3 linked regions of the Stegostoma tigrinum genome follow. The protein of the gene in region 2 purifies or fractionates together with the protein of the main gene of each other region. This does not show direct contact. Links are inferred from orthologs where the notes say so. Each region holds a gene or a part of one and is shown on either strand. Other genes may lie near its edges.

The links. The genes of interacting proteins can lie anywhere in the genome.
Region 1: the proteins of ruvbl2 (region 2) and eftud2 purify together in Homo sapiens (affinity purification with mass spectrometry; 5 studies listed by BioGRID and IntAct, with this or other methods). This does not show direct contact. The link is inferred for Stegostoma tigrinum from reciprocal best matches to the Homo sapiens genes RUVBL2 and EFTUD2.
Region 3: the proteins of ruvbl2 (region 2) and ctnnb1 purify together in Homo sapiens (affinity purification with mass spectrometry; 5 studies listed by BioGRID, with this or other methods). This does not show direct contact. The link is inferred for Stegostoma tigrinum from reciprocal best matches to the Homo sapiens genes RUVBL2 and CTNNB1.

Annotation. Positions count from the first base shown.
Region 1 is NC_081384.1:27,961,087-27,968,847, reverse strand, and holds the start of eftud2 (116 kDa U5 small nuclear ribonucleoprotein component), read right to left. Parts: upstream 3,093-7,761; 5' UTR 2,971-3,092; intron 1-2,970. UniProt on the Homo sapiens protein: Required for pre-mRNA splicing as component of the spliceosome, including pre-catalytic, catalytic and post-catalytic spliceosomal complexes. Component of the U5 snRNP and the U4/U6-U5 tri-snRNP complex, a building block of the spliceosome.
Region 2 is NC_081391.1:18,535,561-18,542,549, forward strand, and holds the start of ruvbl2 (ruvB-like 2), read left to right. Parts: upstream 1-3,983; 5' UTR 3,984-4,066; coding exon 4,067-4,075; intron 4,076-6,989. UniProt on the Homo sapiens protein: Possesses single-stranded DNA-stimulated ATPase and ATP-dependent DNA helicase (5' to 3') activity; hexamerization is thought to be critical for ATP hydrolysis and adjacent subunits in the ring-like structure contribute to the ATPase activity.
Region 3 is NC_081355.1:8,431,291-8,438,207, forward strand, and holds the start of ctnnb1 (catenin beta-1), read left to right. Parts: upstream 1-3,825; 5' UTR 3,826-3,936; exon of another isoform or gene 3,937-3,942; intron 3,943-4,026; exon of another isoform or gene 4,027-4,156; intron 4,157-6,917. UniProt on the Homo sapiens protein: Key downstream component of the canonical Wnt signaling pathway.

The DNA.
Region 1 (7,761 bases), on a different chromosome or scaffold from region 2:
GATCCCTTGGTTCCTTCCCAGGAAAATCCTTCCCACTAGCTGGTCTACCTCTGGCTACTGCCTCACCTGCATCAACGCTCACCTCTGGTATACAGCTCAGGTTCCCACCCCCCTGCCATACTAGTTTAAACCCTCTCGAACTACTCGAGCAAACCTTCCACCCAGGACATTGGTCCCCTTCCAGTTCAGATGCAACCCGTCCTTCTTGTACAGGTCCCACCTTCCCCAGAAGGCATCCCAATTATCAACATATCTGAAGCCCTCCCTCCTACACCAGCTGCGTAGCCACGTGTTCAGCTGCGCCCGCTCCCTGTTCCTCACCTCGCTATCTCGTGGCACCGGTAGTAAACCAGAGAACACTACTCTGTTCGTCCTGCTCTGCAGCTTCCATCCTAACTCCCTGAAATCACTTTTTATATCCTCAAACCTATTTCTGGTTATATCATTTGTGCCAATATGTAACACGATTTCTGGCTGTTCACCCTCCCCTTTCAGAACTTTATACACCCGATCGGAGACGTCCCGGACCCTGGCACCAGGGAGGCAACATACCTTCCGGGAATCCCGATCTTGCCCACAAAATCTCCTGTCGATTCCCCTAACTATCGAGTCCCCTACCACGAGTACTTTTCTATTCTGCCCCCTTCCCTTCTTTGCCACAGTGTCAGGCTCAGTGCGAGAGAACTGACTACTATGGCTTTCCTCTGGTAGGTCAACCCCCCCAGCAGTATCCAAAACGGTATACTTATTGCTGAGGGGAATGCCCACAGGGGATCTCTGCACTGTCTGTCTGTCCCCTTTCCTCCCCCTAACTGTAACCCATCTATCCTCGTCCTGAGCCTTAGGAGTGACCAACTCCCGATAACTCCTCTCAATTACCCCCTCTGCCTCCCGAATGATCCGTAGTTCATCCAGCTCCAGCTCCATTTCCCTAACACGGTTTTCAAGGAGCTGTAGCTGGGTGCACTTCCCGCAAATGTAGCCAGCGGAGACGTGTGCCACATCTCCCAACTGCCACATTTTGCAGAGGAGCAAGCAACTGCCCTAGCATCCATACCCCACTTATCTGAACACCCACTCAATACTAAAGCAGAAAGCTCACTTCAAGTAATAATAACAAATTAATAACAAACTTATGTTCAATAGAGAAAGTTTAGAATGAACCTTACCTTATTAACTAGGTTAGAGGAGGAGGGCGGGTGGGAGACACTACAGTTGTAGAGTCTCGGGTTAAGCCGCCTTGCTGATATATATATAAATTATTCTTTCTTTCATGCACTGAAACAGTACATAAAAAAGACTATTTCACCCATCATGCTTGTGCTGGTTCTTTGGTAGAATGTTCATCATCCCATTTTGCCCCATAGCCTTGTTTCTACAATCTAATTTTTAAAGTTATTATTGAGTCTGCTTCCAGCACACTCATATTTCAGATCACAACAACTTGCTTTTTAAATGTGTTTCCTCAAGTCTTTTTTGCTAATATTATATCTATGTCCTTGGTCATTCACCCTCTGCCTCTGAAAACAGTTTCTTATTATCTCCTCTTAATTTTCTGGGCTCTAAGGAAAATAAGCCCCGTTTCTTGTGTCCAATTAACATCCATCCTTCATCAGTGTAAAAGCAAAATACGCCAGACTTTGAAGGGTTGAAATAAAAGCAGAAAAAGTGTTGGAGAAATTCAGCAGATTTGGCAGTATCAATGCAAAAAGAAGGAAAGCTAACATTTCAAGCCTGATATGAATTTTCTTTGTGAACCAAATAAAGTTACATATTACACAATTATTCTTCCCAGAGATGCTATCACAGCTTCCTCAACACATTGTTTTTCTTCAAAACTAAATTGGTGAGTTTCTTCTACATCCTTTTCAAGGTCTTCTAAAGTGTAGTGCTCCAAACTGAAAGCACACAAAACCCCTTCACTATGGCCCAATTAGATAGGTTTTCCATAACTCCTTTGGCTTTTATAATGTAGACCTCGATAAATAAAGCAAGGATTTCGCAAAGAAATACAAAGCCTTCATCAAGACCTTTTTTGTTCCTCTTTCCCCACGAACATTGAACAGGGTAGTTTATACAGGGGAGGCAGGGACTCTTGTGGTGCAATGGGAGTCTCCCTACCCAGGAAGGCCTGGGTTCAAATCTCACCTACTCCAGAGATGAGTAGTAACTTCTCTGAATAAGTTAATTAGAAAATATCTATATTTTGTACATATCCTGAATGATGTGACATGGATTACTGAAGAATTATACTACAGTTGTCTTCAGTAAGGTAGGGGTTTAGTGTGAAAGGGTGCTGGGATTGGAGAAGGACTGACATCTGCAACACAAAAGTTGTAGTGGCTCAGTGGTTAGCACTGCTGCCTCACAGCTTTCCATCCTTGGGCAACTGTCCGTGTGGAGTTTGTACATTCTCCCCATGTCTGCTTGGGTTGCCTCTGGTGTTCTGGTTTCCTCCCACAGTCCAAAGATGTGCAGGTTAGGGCGGATTGGCCATGCTAAATTGCCCAGTGTTCAGGGATGTGTAGGTTAGGTGGGTTACAGGTCTGGGTGGGATGCTCTGAGGCTCGGTGTGGACTTGTTGGGTCGAAGGGCTTGTTTCCATACTATAAGGATTCGATGATCTATGATGATCTAAAGTAATAATGGCTTGTGCAGAACTGCTTAATCACTAGGGGTTCCTGTGGTGTATTGGTAATGTCACAACCTCTGAGGCAAGAGGCTCACTTTCAAGTCCCCGCTGCTCCAGAGCCGTGTAATAACGTCCCTGATAAGGAAGTTGATAAGGAAAATATTTACAACATGTAGGTTCCAGGCCCCTCGGTGTTACTGGATGCTGGGATTGGTGGTTGGGAGAGAAAGAGAGAGAGAGAGAGAGAGGCGGAGGGCCATTTTGGAAGACGGCGAGGAGGAAGTTTCTATCAAACCGTAGCAGCCTCGATGATGAGGGAAGACAGCAGCTAGACTTACATTCGACTCCGGGTTTTATCCCGCTCTGTCTCGGCCTCCACCTCGCTCAGACGAAGGAGCGCGACTGCATGACAACCGCGCGACACTCACTCAGGAAGGACCCCCACTTTGTCCGGCGCAGCCGCCTGACTCTAAAGACAGAAATAACTCCGCTAGAAATGTCTTCAAGTAACTCTCCGATTATACTGTCAGACTTTAGTAAAAGGAAATGTGGTTCCATGTTTAAATGAAAGGTGGGAGCAAAAAATCAGGCTGTATGGTCATGACCAGTGATTGAGCCTTTCTGCACATAATCCTTGTTCTGCTGAAACTCCTGTTTTCAGGAATAATGTTCCCTCCGCCTCATCATTCTCCCATAGGCATTAATCTTAGAATTTCTGAAGGAAAATAAGTTAACATTTCCATTCTAATATTACATAAGGAGCAGTTTGTTTTCTTTCAGCGTCTGCATAGTACTCTGAGGTACAGTTCAAAATGACAGCAGCGTAATGGTAGGAATAGAGTCGAGCATCAAAAACATGCCACGCACATAAACCGGAGGTTGATGAATCAAAATTAGCCTCCGCTAGGTAATTGCAGCAGTGAATGGACGCGGTCTTTCATCCACAGCAGCAGTAAGTGTAACCCTACCTTCAGATCATTAGACAGTCCCACCTGCTCCAGGTGCCTGAACAGGTTGATTTAAAGATATCTATATTTCATGTCAAACACGACGAGTTATTTGCAAAGTTCTAGCCCCTTTGTATACCATAGAGGCCTTTAGACAGCAATCTTGCCCCCTTGTGAGTGGAGCAGGTGATGGTGGTGAATGGGCAGATACTGGTCCAAGCTTGGCAGATAGCTGGGAAAGTTTAAATTGAAATTTAGGCTCAGAAATATTGACTGTAAAATAATTGGCTTTTCTTTTTAAAATATCTGGTTCATAAATAGTCATTAGGAGAGAAAATCTCTTTACCCTCCTCACCTGATGTATGTAGTCAATGCGTATCTAGACACATAGAATGACAGTTGATTCTCAACTGTCTCTGAAATGGCCTAGTAAAGCCCTGAATTCAAGAGCAGATAAGGACGGGGAACAAGTTCTGGCTTTGCCATAACACACTCACATCATGAAAGTTTTTAAAAATGTCTGGATTTAGTAGTCATTGTAGCATCATGCCTTGAAAGATGCATGTTGAAAGTGTTCATAAGTCCCAACTTAGAAGGAGCAATTAACCTAATATATGGAAAGCTGCAAAAAGGTCCCAACTCTGAATTGGAGTCAGACCAGAACTGACCCCAACTAACACTCCTCTGACCCAACACCTTCACCACTTGATTCCCTTACCTAACGTTCTGTCATCCTAGCCCTTCACCCACCTGCCATCCTACTCTATCACCCACCTAACTTATAGACTCACTTTTTCTCTGTACTTTGCCCAAATGCTTTGGGACCTTTAAACTCTGAATTACAAAAGTAAATAGGGGATGTGGTTTGATCTGCAGCCCTGATCCCACGCTATGATGGAAGACTCCAGATTGTTTACATGGCACATTTGTCAAATGGACCAATTTGTAAATCCGGGTCAGAAATGTGGAGTACCTTGGGAAAAGTAGGAAGACAGGTGTGGAGTTGCAGTCTGAATAGATTGCCACACTTCAGATAATGCAACTCAAATGTTCTTCACTGTTATATTTAAAGGCTCAGTGAAGTCCTTTTCCTAATACAACATCTTCACCATTCACTCAGTTTCAGCACCCACTGTTCTGTCCAACCTTGATTCTCGTGGAGCTCATTCTTAATAAGATATTTGAATTCTGAAATGTGACTACCCTTCATAAAGCAAGGCAGAAGGATGTCTCTCCTCCTGCACTGGTGAGTCATGTTTTGGTCGTCTTTGTGGCTGGGCAGGCTGATGGTAGAACATGTACTGGTTCAGGCACCAAAGGTAAAAGGACTGTGCAAGAGGCAAAACAGTTTCCCACACACTGCCAATAAATGTAGGATAAATGGTATACTGGGGAGCCAATGACCAGGACAAAGGTTGAAAAGTAAAGTTTCAGGATGATTCCAAAAATGCAGGGCTTTTTCTTCTCTGTTCTTTCACTCGATGTGGACTTCCCCATCAATGTCCCACTTATTGGTCGTGCCTATTTGCCCTTGAAAGTGAGCGACTTAAAAGGCCGTTCAGAGTGTTGTTGAGAATCAACTACATTACTATGAGCCTGCAATTACGTGTAGACCAGACCAGATAAGGACAGCAGACTTTGTTCTCTAAAAGACATTAATGAACCGAGTGTGTAAATCATCCATGTGAGTATTTGTGGCTGCACCAATCTCTAGTTCATCCCACAAACACATAATCATAGATCTTGGTAAGTGCCAACCCGTAACATTTAGTCATTGACATCTATTTACACTCATTGGTAGACCAATAAATTTCAAACAGACCAAAGATAGTCATTCACCAACTGATGCTCCACCAGTGATTCTTGTCTCAGTTTGTGTCCCTTGGAACACCTTCTGGAAAATGGAGTCCATCATTACAGAGATGATTAGGATGAGTGTTGAGAGAAACTATTGTGTCTTGTCCTTGACCTTCAGGTGGGGAGACTGTGCCAGAATAGAACATTACTGCAGATGCTAGAATTTTTACTGAAAACAAAAAATGCTGGAAATCACAATGGGTCAGGCAGCATCCGTGAAGAGAGAGGAAGCTAATGTTTTGCGTCTAGACGACTCCGCATCAGAGCTGACCTGAAGTGTGGAGGGGGCAGCATTTATGCAACGGTATGGGAGTGGAGTGCTGAGGGAGAAAGGGTGTTGATAGTGCAAATTAAGTGACTGGAATGTGAGAATGGTCTCTGATCACTTAATTTGCACTATCAGCACCATTTCTCCCCCAGCACTCTGCCCCCACACCGTTGCATAAATGCTGCCCCCTCCACATTTCATGTCAGCTCTGATGAAGAGTCATTTAGGCTTGAAACATTAGCTTGCTGTCGGCCCATCGATGCCACTGACTCGTTGCGATTTCCAGTATTCTTTTTCAGACGCTGCCAAAGTACCTCTCCCCAAAGCCAGGCCAAGTGCAGCAATGTTCACACATGGATCACTTTCTATCACACTATTTGGAAAAGATAACTTAAGGAGATTATTGGATAAGATACACAAGGTGTCATACAGTTAATTATTTTTAAGATGCTACATGTGAAAATACTTCTAAATGTTCAACATCATTGCAATATGTAACATAAAGTAGATCTTACAAATTACAGGACCTAAAGATTAAATCAATTGTATGTTGAGGAAATTCTCATTACAGTAAGCCATTTCAAAAATCAGCAGCGAAGAGCTAATCACAAGATAGATTAAAGAAACAAACTTGTACTCCATTGCAAGTCTTTCTTCTGAAATATGCATAACAAAGCCTTCCACAACCAGCCCAGCTCATCTCTACCTTCCTAACCTGTCTTCCTCTCACCTACCCCCCCCCCCCCCCCCCCCCCACCCCACCTCAAGCCGTATCCCCATTTCCTCAGACTAACCTCATCCTGGCCCCTTGACCTGTCCGTCCTCCCCGGACTGACCTATCTCCTCCCTACCTCCCCACCTACAGTCACCTCTACTGGCTCCATCCCGGCCTCTTTAACTTGTCTGTTTCCTCTCCACCTATCTTCTCCTCTATCCATCTTCGATCCACCTCTCCCTCTCTCCTTATTTATTTCAGAACCCTCTTCTCCTCCCCATTTTCTGATGAAGGGTCTAGGCCCAAAACGTCAGCTTTTGTGCTTCTAAGATGCCGCTTGGCCTGCTGTGTTCATCCAGCTCCACATTTTGTTATCTCGGATTCTCCAGCATCTGCAGTTCCCATCATCTCTGAGTCATTTTCTACATTCATTTTGAGGTTAAGTGGCAATCCTTGTCAAATTGTTCTTCCTGTTGACTATCTTGCTTGTAATGAAATACTGTGTCACTTTTCATATATTTCAACCTGTGCTTTTTGCCATTCTGGCCAGTTGCAGAAATAACATTCTTAGATAATTGTCATTCTTGACTTTTTTTAATGTGTGTGGTGCCCGTTTGAGTGGATTGTATGCCAGAGCTTGAGCTGTGGTCACCTAGGATAACCCTTGTTGTCCAGTTGCCTCTGTCTGATTTTGAGTGTTGTCTCAAATGTAGGTGGCTTGGTGCATGAATGAAGGCATTATGCCTGCTGCCAGAATATCAGGTATTGAATTGTATAATGCATTGATTTCCAGCTGGATGTTAAGGGAGTTGAATTCCTTTTCCTCAGAGTTGTCATATGGCAGAAACAGCACAGTTTGTGTGCAGTTCATGCGTCATTTGGAAACCAACAATCCTTATGAAGCTGCTCCATCTGCATAATCTGGTAAGAGAGAATGAAATATATTCAGCTCTCTTGTAATCAAGAACCTTAACAATGTTGCATTTGGATTGTGGAATAGGCTTGAGGGGCTAATCGGTTAATTTCTATCAATATTAATCTTTATAAGATCTCTCCTTACATGTCTTTTTTATGGCCTGAAGTACACTACCTTATCAAATGATTCTTCATAAAGCACATTGCTATACCAGAGATCAGCCTTATTGTTTCTCTTGGCATTGTTTTAAGTCTCCTTATGTTCCGATACTGGGGGCGTAGTAATGCTCTGGACATGTTTCGCCAATGCATTATACAACATCATCATGACTTACAGAATTGGAAGTTAATCGATTTGGCAGTACAATCTGGTACACCTGCATGAGAGAGAGACATTTGCTTCGTCTAATGAAAACAAAGAATATGA
Region 2 (6,989 bases):
TTCCTAGTTATAGAGACAGAAAAATGAGAGAAAAACAGGTTACATTACAGCTATACACAGTATAACCACGGGTTAGAAAAACAGGAAGCAAAGTTAAACAACAGTCTCTCTCCAACGGCTCTTTGCAGCAGACCAGCGCAGTGAGTGTCCACACGGTCTGACCACCAGCTGCTGCCGCGCTCCACACTGGGACTGGGCCATTGCCACCGGGCTCCACACTGGGACTGGGTCACTGCCACCGGGCTCCACACTGGGACTGGGTCACTGCCACCGGGCTCCACACTGGGACTGGGTCACTGCTACCGGGCTCCACACTGGGACTGGGTCACTGCCACCGGGCTCCACACTGGGACTGGGTCACTGCTACCTGGCTCCACACTGGGACTGGGTCACTGCCACCGGGCTCCACACTGGGACTGGGCCATTGCCACCGGGCTCCACACTGGGACTGGGTCACTGCCACCGGGCTCCACACTGGGACTGGGTCACTGCTACCTGGCTCCACACTGGGACTGGGTCACTGCCACCGGGCTCCACACTGGGACTGGGTCACTGCTACCTGTCTCCACACTGGGACTGGGTCACTGCCACCGGGCTCCACACTGGGACTGGGTCACTGCTACCTGGCTCCACACTGGGACTGGGTCACTGCTACCTGTCTCCACACTGGGACTGGGTCACTGCTACCTGGCTCCACACTGGGACTGGGTCACTGCCACCGGGCTCCACACTGGGACTGGGTCACTGCCACCGGGCTCCACACTGGGACTGGGTCACTGCCACCGAGCTCCACACTGGGACTGGGTCACTGCTACCGGGCTCCACACTGGGACTGGGTCACTGCTACCTGTCTCCACACTGGGACTGGGTCACTGCTACCTGGCTCCTCACTGGGACTGGGTCACTGCCACCGGGCTCCACACTGGGGCTGGGTCACTGCCACCGGGCTCCACACTGGGACTGGGTCACTGCTACCTGGCTCCACACTGGGACTGGGTCACTGCCACCGGGCTCCACACTGGGACTGGGTCACTGCCACCGGGCTCCACACTGGGACTGGGTCACTGCCACCGAGCTCCACACTGGGACTGGGTCACTGCTACCGGGCTCCACACTGGGACTGGGTCACTGCTACCTGTCTCCACACTGGGACTGGGTCACTGCTACCTGGCTCCTCACTGGGACTGGGTCACTGCCACCGGGCTCCACACTGGGGCTGGGTCACTGCCACCGGGCTCCACACTGGGACTGGGTCACTGCTATCGGGCTCCACACTGGGACTGGGTCACTACCGCCATGTGTCACACTGGGACTGGGACACTGCTACCGTGCTCTGCACTGGGACTGGGTCACTGTCATCACCCTCCTCACTGGGACTGGGTCACTGCCACCGCCCTCCTCACTGGGACTGGGTCACTGCCACCGCGCTCCACACTGGGACTAGGTCACAGCCACCGACCTCCACACTGGGACTGGGTCACTGCCACCGCGCTCCACACTGGGACTAGGTCACAGCCACCGACCTCCACACTGGGACTGGGTCACTGCCACCGCCCTCCACACTGGGACTGGGTCACTGCCACCGCCCTCCTCACTGGGACTGGGTCACTGCCACCGACCTCCACACTGGGACTGGGTCACTGCCACCGACCTCCACACTGGGACTGGGTCACTGCCACCGCCCTCCTCACTGGGACTGGGTCACTGCCACCGGGCTCCACACTGGGACTGGGTCACTGCCACCGCCCTCCTCACTGGGACTGGGTCACTGCCACCGCCCTCCGCACTGGGACTGGGTCACTGCCACCGCCCTCCGCACTGTGACTAGGTCACAGCCACCAGGTTCCACACTGGGACTGGGTCACTGCCACCGCCCTCCTCACTGGGACTGGGTCACTGCCACCGAGCTCCACACTGGGACTGGGTCACTGCCACCGCCCTCCTCACTGGGACTGGGTCACTGCCACCGAGCTCCACACTGGGACTGGGTCACTGCCACCGCCCTCCTCACTGGGACTGGGTCACTGCCACCGAGCTCCACACTGGGACTGGGTCACTGCCACCGGGCTCCACACTGGGACTGGGTCACTGTCATCACCCTCCACACTGGGACTGGGTCACTGTCATCACCCTCCACACTGGGACTGGGTCACTGCCACCGGGCTCCACACTGGGACTGGGTCACTGCTACCGCCCTCCTCACTGGGACTGGGTCACTGCCACCGAGCTCCACACTGGGACTGGGTCACTGTCATCACCCTCCACACTGGGACTGGGTCACTGTCATCACCCTCCACACTGGGACTGGGTCACTGCCACCGGGCTCCACACTGGGACTGGGTCACTGCCACCACGCTCCAACTGGAAATGGATCACTGTCATCACCCTCCACCCTGAGACTGGGTCACTGCCACCCCCCTCCGCACTGAGACTGGGTCACTGCCACCCCCCTCCGCACTGAGACTGGGTCACTGCCACCCCCCTCCTCACTGGGACTGGGTCACTGCCACCCCCCTCCTCACTGAGACTGGGTCACTGCCACCACCCCCCTCACTGGGACTGGGCCTCTGTCACCGCGCTCCGCACTGGGACTGGGTCCAGTGGCAATTGTCACTGGAGTCTTAGTCCAGAGACCCTGGTAAAATTCAAAGCTGGTTTTAAGGCTTCCTAAGGCAGATGATGGAATTTGAATTCAATAAATATCCAAAATCAGGAGTCTAAAGATGACCCTGAATCCATTGTTGATAGCCAGGAAAAACCCATCTGGTTCAGTAAAGTCCTTTAGGGGAGGAAACTGCCATCTTTACCTCGTCTGGCCTACGCGTGACTCAGACAACACAGTAATATGGTTGACTCTGGGCAATTAGGGATGGGCAATAAATGTTGACCTAGCCAGTGATTAATGCATTTCATGAATGAATAAAACAAAATCTTCTTCATGTGAAATTATCTTACAATTGAGCTCACAGTACCAAAACAGGCACTCAACATAACTGGCTCATGTCAGGGGTTCTGCTTCAGAAGAACCAACCTTATCAAAATGATATTATGCACTATAGAAATATATATTCCAAGACAGACATCGATATATTTTTACACCTTAAATTGGTTTGGGATTGGTAAGTGGAATTGCTGTCAATGGTGAAGTCAGCTCACTTATTCCTTTTTATTATGTTATTATAGGAAGTTGAACTATAGATCAGCCATTACTTCCATAAACTGTAGCCTCATTCTTTCTTAAACCCAAATGCCTCTCTTAGATATTACCAGTTAAGTCTACCATGCTACTGAAATATAATGAATCCCCAGGTGGCTTAGTAGCAAGCACTGCTTCCTCACAGTACCAGGCACTTAGATTCAAGTCTCAGGCAATTGTCTATGTGGAGTTTGCATGTCCTCCCTGCTTCTGCCTGGTGGTCTGGTTTCCTCCCACAGTTCAGAGGTGTGCTGGCTAGGTGAAATGGCCATGCAGGTTTATGGGGATAGGATGGGTGGGATGTTCTTCAAAGGATTGGTGCAGACTCAATGAGCCAAATGGCCTCTTTCTGCACTGTAGTGGGTCTATGAAAACCCAGCCATCAAATGTTTTGGAAATTAGGATAACTTATCTTGGTAATTCCCTTCAGCCTCACAAACCTCGAATTGAGTAACCCCCGTCTTTTATTTCTGGCCTCTTTTGATTCCCACCAACAATTGCTCCACTACTGGGAACTGTACATTCAGCTGCTAATGGATTCCAAAACTCTGGAAGTCTCTTACTGTCTCCATTATATCTGGCTTAATCACCTCCTTATGGATCTTAAAACCCACGATCAAGCTTTTATTCATAGTCAGACTTCATTCGATAATGATCCTGAAAAACGCTTTGGGAGGTTTCATTGCGTAATAGGCGCTAGAGTATGGTATGTACAAGCTGTTGTTGTTGATAGTGATGAACTTGGGTTTGGCGGAGGAAGGAAGGACTGGAGCGGAACCTAGTTTCGGCGCTTTTGTTTCCTCGTCGGAGCTGGGCGGGTGGTACAGCCGGAAGTGTTGTCGGTGGTTGGAAACCGGTGGCGGCAGCAGCATGGCAACGGTGAGCGGGGACCGGGGGACGGCGAGACAGATCCTCGGGGGAGAGCCCTCACCACCCCCCCGGGGTAGGGGAGAGCATTCCGTTGTTATCCAAGCGGGAGCGGGCCCCCGTTAGAACGGGCAGAGATTCCCGGCGGAGGGAGCTGCGCGGCTGCAGAATGTTCGAGATCCTGGTGCCCGGGCTCTTACCGTCCCCGTCCCCACCGGCCCCCAAATTCCCCTCACACTCCCCTCCCCCCCCCCCCACCGCGCACACTCCCATCCCTCCCCCCCCCGCACACACTCCCTCCCCCCCCCCGCACACACTCCCCCCCCGCACACACTCCCCCCCCCCCCACACACTCCCCCCCCCCCACACACTCCCCCCCCGCACACACTCCCCCCCCCCACACGCACACTCCCCCCCCCGCCACACGCACACTCCCCCGCCACACGCACACTCCCCCCCACACACTCCCCCCCCCCCCACACACTCCCCCCCCCCACACACTCCCCCCCCCACACACTCTCCCCCCCCACACACTCTCCCCCCCCCACACACTCTCCCCCCCCCACACACTCTCCCCCCCCACACACTCTTCCCCCCCCCACACACTCTTCCCCCCCCCACACACTCCCTCCCCCCCACACACTCCCCCCCCCCCACACATCCCTCCCCCCCCACACACTCCCTCCCCCCCCACACACTCCCTCCCCCCCCACACACTCCCCCCCACACCCTCCCCCCCCCCACACCCTCCCCCCCCCCCACACCCCTCTCCCCCCCCCCCACACCCTCCCCCCCCCACACCCTCCCCCCCCCACACACTCCCCCCCCCACACACTCTCCCCCCCCACACACTCTCCCCCCCCACACACTCTCCCCCCCCCACACACTCTCCCCCCCCCCACACACTCTCTCCCCCCCCACACACTCTCCCCCCCCACACACTCTTCTCCCCCCCCACACACTCCCTCCCCCCCCACACACTCCCCCCCCACACACTCCCTCCCCCCCCACACACTCCCCCCACACCCTCCCCCCCCCACACCCCCCCCCCACACGCATGCACTCTCTCCCGCCCCCTCCCTGCAGGCACACACTCCCCCCCCGCACGCACGCACACTCCCCCCCCCCCCCCCGCACGCACGCACTCTCCCCCCCCCACGCACGCACACCCCCCCCCACACACTTCCCCCCCCCACACACTTCCCCCCCCCGCACGCACCCCCCCCGCACGCACTCCCCCCCCCCCACGCACACCCCCCCCCCCACGCACCCCCCCCCCACGCACTCCCCCCCCCCCACGCACTCCCCCCCCACGCACTCCCCCCCCACGCACTCCCACCCCCACGCACTCCCCCCCCCACGCACTCCCCCCCCACGCACTCCCCCCCCCCACACGCTCCCCCCCCCACACACGCTCCCCCCCCCACACACTCCCCCCCCCCCACACTCCCCCCCCCCACACTCCCCCCCCCACACTCCCCCCCCCACACTCCCCCCCCCCCCCACACTCCCCCCCCCCCACACTCCCCCCCCCCCCACACTCCCCCCCCCCCCACACTCCCCCCCCACACTCCCTCCCCCCCCACACTCCCTCCCCCCCCCACACTCCCCCCCCCACACTCCCCCCCCCCACACTCCCCCCACACTCCCCCCCCCCCACACTCCCCCCACACACTCCCCCCCCCCACACACACTCCCCCCCCACACACACTCCCCCCCCCACACACACTCCCCCCCCACACACACTCCCCCCCCCACACACACTCCCCCCCCACACACACTCCCCCCCCCACACACACTCCCCCCCCCCCACACACTCCCCCCCCCCCCACACACTCCCCCCCCCCACACTCCCCCCCCCCACACACTCCCCCCCCCCACACACTCCCCCCCCCCCCCCCACACACTCCCCCCCCCCCACACACTCTCCCCCCCCCCCACACACTCCCCCCCCCCACACACTCCCCCCCCCCCACACACTCCCCCCCTCCCCCCCCCACACTTGTCTGCATTAAACTCCATTTGTCACCTCTCAGCCCAGCTCTGCAGCTTATCCATGTCTCTCTGCAACCTACAGCATCCTTCGTCACTATCCACAACTCCACCGACCTTAGTGTCGTCTGCAAAATTTACTAACCCATCCTTCTATGCCCTCATCCAGGTCATTTATAAATATGACAAACACCAGTAGACTCAACACCGACCCTTCCAGTACACCACTAGTAACTGCTCTCCAGGATGAACATTTCCCATCAACTACCACCCCTCTGTCTTCTTTCAGCCAGCCAATTTCCGATCAGGTTTTCTAAATTAAACTAGTCCCATTTACCTGCATTTGGTCTACATCCCTCTAAACATTTCTTATCCAAACACCTGTTCAAATGTCTTTAAAATGTTGTAATTGTACATACTTTTACCACTTCCTCTGGCAGCTTGTTCCATTTACACACCACCCTCTGTGTGAAAAAGTTGCCCCTCGAGTCCCTTTTAAATCGTTCCTCTCATATTAAATCTATGCCCTCTAGTTTTGGACTCCCCTACGCTGGGGAAACTTGAAAACTGCTCTTTAGTTAGTGCTTGGGGAGCTGAAGACATACCTAAACTAATACAGTAGGCAGAGAGGCTCTTAAAGAAGCAACTCATCTGCAAGGATAACAGCTAGACACGTGGATGTCGGCAAAGCTTCAGAGTTTATTCAACTGTTGTCCCTTAACAAAAATATAAAAATGAAGAGAATTGATCCTTAGTTCACTTTGCTCTGGCCATAGGCTACCAGGCAGAAATGAGTCTTTCCACTTTATCTGATCAGTACAATTCTGTATTCAAATATGCTTTGAAGTTAATTTGATCCAGCAGCAAAGAAGAAAGTTTCAGAGGAAAGAACCAGGAAGAGTGGGAAATGTTAAAACCTTTGGCCTTTCAGGAT
Region 3 (6,917 bases), on a different chromosome or scaffold from region 2:
CACATTGCTGTCGGTCTAGAGTCACATGTAGGCCATAGTAGGTAAGGATGACAGTTTCCTTCCCAAAAGGACATTAGTGAACCAGATGGGCTTTTCCAACCATTGACAAGATTTTCATGATCATCACTGGACTGTTGATTCCATCTGCTATGGAAGAATTTAAACTCGGGTCCCAAAATGTTGCCTGGGTCTCTGGATTAATAGTCTAGTGCCATTCTGCCCCCATTATATATTTATAACGCACCTCTCAAACGGTGAAACACCTCAATGTACTTTACAGGCACAATACAGGAAAAAGATTTTGCAGCAAGTAATGTAAATCCTAAGAACATGAGAATTATAATTGGCAGTAGGCCATTCAGCCCAGTAAATCTATACCACCATTCAATATGATCATGGCTCAGCTGATTGCAGCCTTTGACAAGATGACAAAAAGATTGCCAAAAAGGTAGGCTTTTTGAGGAGCATTTTGAAGAAAAGAAAAAGGAGAAGAGAGGTAGAGGGTTTCAAGGAAGGATTTCAGAGTTTAGGACATTTGCAGATGAAGGCACAGCTACCCATGGTGATACGTTTAAATTTGGTATTCTCAAGAGGTCACAATATCAATGAAATCTGTACCATAAGGCACTGACACATATTATATAGTGAGGATGCTGCAATCAAAAGACTTAAATTCATGTTTCGGGGCAGGAAGTATCAAGTACTGGTTGACAGAAGTACTCTGGCTTGCATGTTACATGTGTTGAGTTGCAGGTCTTAATAATGCTTCAATTGGGCAGTAACACATAAGATCTAAGTAATTCCATATGAAATTAAGTACCAGAGAGCTAGTTATATTGTGCAGATATCAACTGCCTTCTAATGCCTGGAAATTAAGTGGTATTGGCAATAATCAGCAAATAGTTATTGAGGACATGCAAAAAACAGGTGAGAAAAAAAAGGACAGAAAAAAGGGTTACAAAAATGACTTTAAGAAAAGGTACAATATATGTACCACAGGATTCCAGAATGTCATCCAACCTGTTAAACTTATTTGAGTTTGTATCACAATCCCATATGCTGCCACTGGCGAAGGAGCAGTGCTCCAAAAGTTTGTGATTGCAAATAAACTTGTTGAACTAAACTATAAGTTGGTGTCATGCGACTTTTGACTTTGTCCACCCCAGTCCAATACGCATATTGACATCTTCCAATGGCGAGCTGTGTTCGATTGAGGTCATGCCTCAGATAAAGATGCTGCTGGGTCACAGGATCAGGCAGTCACTCCCATGATATCATGTTTGAGTTGAATTACAGCAAAATAAAGCTCAACCAACCAATCAGTGAGTGGCTGCACAATGACACTCAAATGTGATGGGTACTAATAGATGATTCTGTTTATGAAATCAGACAGTGGTTACCTAGACAATGATTAACTATCAAAGTATACAGTTAAATAAAATATGTGAAAATGCTGGGAATATATCTCAACGTCAGGCAGCTGTTCTTTTTATTTGTTCAACAGCACATGTGGGAGCCATTGGTTACATCAGCATATGTTGCCCATCCATAATTGCCATGGAAAAACTGAGAGTGTGCTGCCCTCATGAGCTCCTGCTGTTCTCATGGTGTAGGGATATAAACATAAGAAGGAACAAGAGTAGGCCACTTGGCCCGTTGAGCCTGTTCCCCCATTCAATAAGATCATGGCTGATCTGATTTTAACCACAACTCTTCGTTCCCGCATATCCCATCGATAATTTTGAACCCCTCAGGAATCAAGAATCTGTCTACTTCTGCTTTAAAAATATTTAAAGATTCTGCATCCACTGTGTTTTGAGGAAGGGAATTCCAAAGATTCTCAATCCTCGGGGAGAATTTTTTCCATATCACTGATTTAAAGGGGTGACCATTCACTTTTAAACTGTGACCTCTTATTCTAGGTTCCCTTACAAGAGATTCACATGATATCCACCTGCTCAAGGCCCCTCAGAAGGATCTTCTGTGCTTCAATGAAGTCCCTTTGACTCTTCTAAACTCCTGACAACACAGGCCTAACCTTTCCTCATAAGGCTATCTGTTCATTCCAGTTATTAGTCGAGTAAATCTTTCCTGCACAGTTTCCAATACATTAACATCCTTCTGTAAGTATGTTGACCAGTACTTATACCATAATTTGGATGCAGTCTCACTAAAGTCCTCTATAACTGAAACATAACCTCCCTAATGTTGCATTAAATTTCCCTCAAAATAAAACATAATATTCTATTAGTTTTCCTAACCATTTGCTGTACCTTTGTACCAACCCTCCTTGATTCATGCACAAGCACGCAGACCTCTCTGCATCTCAGAGCGGTGCAACCTCTCACCAGTTAGATAATATGCATTTTTTTTGCTGTTTCTGCCAAAATGGATAATTTCCCACTTTGCCACATTATACTCGTTACCAGTTCTTTTGTCCACTCACTTAACCTATCTGTATTGCTTTGTAAGATCACCACAGTACATGCTACACAACCGTGACACAATTTTGACTGCTGTATTCTTCATTTACTACACTTCACAAGTATTTCATTGACTGATTTTTAAAAATGTCTTGAGCATAAGAACCTTCTGAATGTAAAAATATAATTGCATATTATATGTAACACTTTTCGCTAATAATACGCCAGATGCCGTCTTCACCAATAAGAATTACAAATCTCACATAATTCAAGGCTTAAATACTTCATTTGGGGTTCCATTTCATGGATAGTGTGGTTACTTTACATTTGCACAGCTTGAAGCTAACGTTTATAAATAAATGATGCAGTTCCGAAGGTTATAAATCATAATTGATTTAGCTTTGTTTTCTTTTTAGATTGAGCCAGGAAGATTCATGTGGGAAGTAAGTGGGAATAGAAAAATTACTTTTGCAAATAAAAGACCACATTGTTCTAGCCTTATTTTTAGGATCGGTTTTGCTTTCGGTAATCCAACCAGGCTGCGACTTAAGTATTTTTGCACACTGGAATACTTTTTCCACTAATGCTGCAGCATTTTTCCTTTGTGTGGGATGCCTAGAAGTGAACTTTGTACATCTCTACTTCCGTGAATTTCAATGAATTTTGGGTGAGTTCATTACTTTTTGAAATGCTTAACTCGTACGTGTTACAACCAAAATAACTCTTGAGGCTCGCTCTCCTCCCCGACGAAAGAAAATGGTGCGGGTTTCTTTTTATCCCCACGCTTCGTCTTTTGTGTTTGCAAAACTCGGGTCTTTGAAGTTAACTGTTTACTTTAGAAAGTTAAAAACTCAATCGCGAAGAATGCAAGTTTGGTGGGAAAGGGAGGGGAGAAATTTATTGCAATTCTGGCCCCAATGCAGAAACGTATATGAAATTCACGAACATAAAAGTCCAAATAAATAAAAGGATGTTATGCATATGGTGGAAAGTCTCATTGCAGCTGCAAAAATAAAGTTGCTTCGCTGAGCTGCTACTCGCTGCCTCTGTGGTTCCAGCGATCCTTGACCACAAGGTGTTGTGGCTACGGCACCTAGCCAGTATCCTTCCGCGACGTTCCGGGCCTGGGTAAGGGAGCAGTAGAAAAGAAATGGGGGTGGGCATAGGCAAAAATAGGTTTTATCAACAGTCACAAATCAGATCAAACATAACCCAACTCTAGACTGTGCTGTAAAATTTTAAGTTTGACATAGGTTTATGCGTTGTCTGCGTGTGATAAAGGCCGGAGAAGGGTTAAGTTATTGTTATTTTAATTATAAACACCCCCCTTTTCACCTTCCTTCTGCCAGGTGTGGGCTGGAAAATTACGCACTACATTCCGCAGGCGGAGGGGCACGCACCGTGTCGCTGCCACTTTATAAAGAGACGTTGCTGCCGGTCGCCATTTTGATTGGAGTCGCTGGCAGCGGCGGTTGTTGGAAAGCGGGAGACGGAGGAGGAGGAGTGTAAGAGAGTGAGTGTATGTGAAAGGGAAAAGTGGGGCGTGGGAGAGAGAGATGGTGGTGGGCAGAGCTGATAGCGGGGCGACCCGGAGGAAGAGCGAAGACATTTATTAAAAATACGTAAAGAAGTTAAGAGTTCACCGTCACCCCCGCGATCACTCTCGAAGCCGCGGAGAGGAGTTGGAGTGGCCGCTGCTTCCCGACTTTAGAGGTGCCCGTCCTTCAGCGACGGTGGGTGAGAAAGAGCCCGGCCTTCTCCGGCCCTTCCCTTGGGAGAGGGGGTGGATTAGAGGTTGTTCTCGAGGTGGTGAGTGAGGAGGGACTGAGTTTCCAGATCCTCCCGCTTTCAGAATTAAAAGATCGAAAAGTCGATTAACTCCCGAACAACGTGGCATCGGGGGAAGGGCGGGTGTTTATTATCAGGAGAAAAGGGGGTTGGAGTTTACCCCAGAGAGGGGGCAGGAGAAAGAGGGGTTTAAAACCGTGGGTGATTGGGAGGGGAGGGGGGGCTAGAGAGAGAGAGAGGAGGGTGTATCTTCTCCCCCGGAGGGAGAGCAGAGGGGAGCTTCCAACCCTCTGGGGGAGGGGGGGCACCTTTACCCTCATGGGGGGGAGAGAACCCTCAGAACTGGAAGGAATTTCTCCCCCCCCCCCAGAAAGGGGGCAACTGGAGAGGGCTTTACCCCAAATCGGGGGAGGGGATGGGGGTTCAACTGGAGAGTGGAGACAAGTTAGGTGTGAGGATGCTTAACCTGTTGGAGGAAGAATTGAAAAGGTGGTCTTTAATCTGAGGGGCTTAAGTAGGGAAAATTTACCCCAGTAGGGGGCAGAAGTGAGATGGAGGTTGTTTACCCTGAGGGGGTGGGAGACAGTTTGTAACCATGGAGCTTTGTGCTAATTACTGTGGGAAGGGGCAGAAATTGTGTTCCCGGGCTGGGGGAAAGAGAGCGAGAGAGATACGATCGTTACCCTGAATGTGTTTTTAAATCCCAACGTGGATGTGGTGGGATGGGTTTCTACTTTGGTGGAGGGCAGGTGTTTGCATCTCCAGTCTGGACAGGGAGATGGGAGGGTGTTCCTACTTGGCTTAAGAAGTTTGGAAGCAGAGGGGCCAGTGTTTTCCCGGCTTCATGGCTACAAGACTGGGCTACAAAGGTTGTAGAGTTAACTCTTTACCACAGGTTGTAAAAGTGCATCTGTAAATTATAGGAGTGTGGGAAAGTGAATGCCTTAACTGGGTGAAATTACAAAGTGGGTTTCCATTGGTGAAGTGATTTTGTTTTCTAAATTGGCAGCATGCAGCTTAACACCCAAACTTTGAGTGTGCAAGTATATGCTGAGATGGTTGAGAAATTGCCTGGAATCCTGAGCTGTATTTGGTGAAAATTGATGAAATGGGACAAAACTTGCTCATTAACAACCAAATGAGTAGGTGACTCATACAGCAGTCTGGGATTTGCATTTTGAGATTTTTGCTGATAAATGCTTTATCATAGGCAAATAGATCTGTTTTTACACTAGTATGTAATTTTTAAGCAGTGGATTATCTATTAACCTCAATGAGGAAAGGCGCATACATGCACAAATTCATTTTGATAAATTTAGAGCAAGTTTAAACTATCTATTTTCTTCCAGTGTCTTGTTGTGATATGGGCTTTTGCTGCATGTTTCATGTTCTGAGGATACCATTTGCAGAGTACATAAGTTTAGTGTGGCCACGACTGTGACAATTGTGGGTTATCTTTCTAGTCTCTTTCCTACATTCTGCTTCTGTGAATTGTTGATTTACATGTCAGATCTGTTGTCTGCATGTTGTGTGTATGTAAATCTCAAATCTTCGTATCGATAGTTACACATCTGTATTCATTGTAGTTGGTTTCTGAGTATTTTCATGGTTTGCAAGTTTGTTTTCCCTCTGTACAGTGCATTAATTACAGTTTCAAATGAAAGTTGGGATTTCATGTAGAAGCAGGAATCTTGTACTGTTGGTAGACTTGGATGTTAAGTTGAGGCACTTCCATTTTGAGTGGAAAGAGAAACATGATGGTGTAGTATCAAACAATTTGTTTGAAATTTCATTATGTATTTAACTTAGAAAATAAAATGTGAAGTGTTTAGGACCAACTGGTTTTTCCTATGTGACTGACCAGATGTTTTTAGCACACGATAATATGTATTGACAGTAGTGTACATCTTCTGGGAAAATGGATACAAAGTCAGAATTCCATCTCTGAAATCCAGTTCTAGTATCTCATAATAAGAACAAAATTTTCAGTAGTCACAAAAGATCTGTGGTCACGATTTGAGGTTTGTATTGCAATACATGCTTTGCATTTTAAACTATTGGCTAAACTTAAAGGCTGTTCTGTTTATTTATGGGCTTCATGTATTTTGGTGTCATTGGACTTGGTGACTTGTAACTGCTTTATTTTATACTATTATGAGCATGACAATTCATTCAGTGGATGTTGCATTCCAATTACTGATTTCTTTTATTGCTGTCTGATTATGAAATTGAGAAAGCTGTTGAAAATGACTTTTTTTTGAAAAATTAGTGTTCTCATAGTTTCACCAGAAGTGGTGATGCTGCATGAATTTCATTGTTCTGGTATATGTTGTACATTTTATTGCAGCTGTTTTGTTTGCACTAAACAGTGCAGCAGAAAGAAATTTAAAGATGTTAAGTTAGCATTTGTATTTTGATAATTATACCCTTTATCTCTCCTTTCGTGAACATTGTGGCTCCAGTTGGACTGTGGTTTGAAGGCTGCTGGCCACCAATCATCACAGTACTGCACTGGATTACTCTATAATTGTAAACAATAGGGGGAGCAGAGAAGGATTTATCAGTTGCACTAACCCCTCCCTGTGCATATGAAAAGCAAGCTGGAGTCCTCGACTGCCCTGTTTTGCTTCCTTGTGAATTGTGCTGAGTGTCACTTAAGTGGTATGCTGTTGAGTGTGGTCTTGTACTACATATGTAGTGTATTTG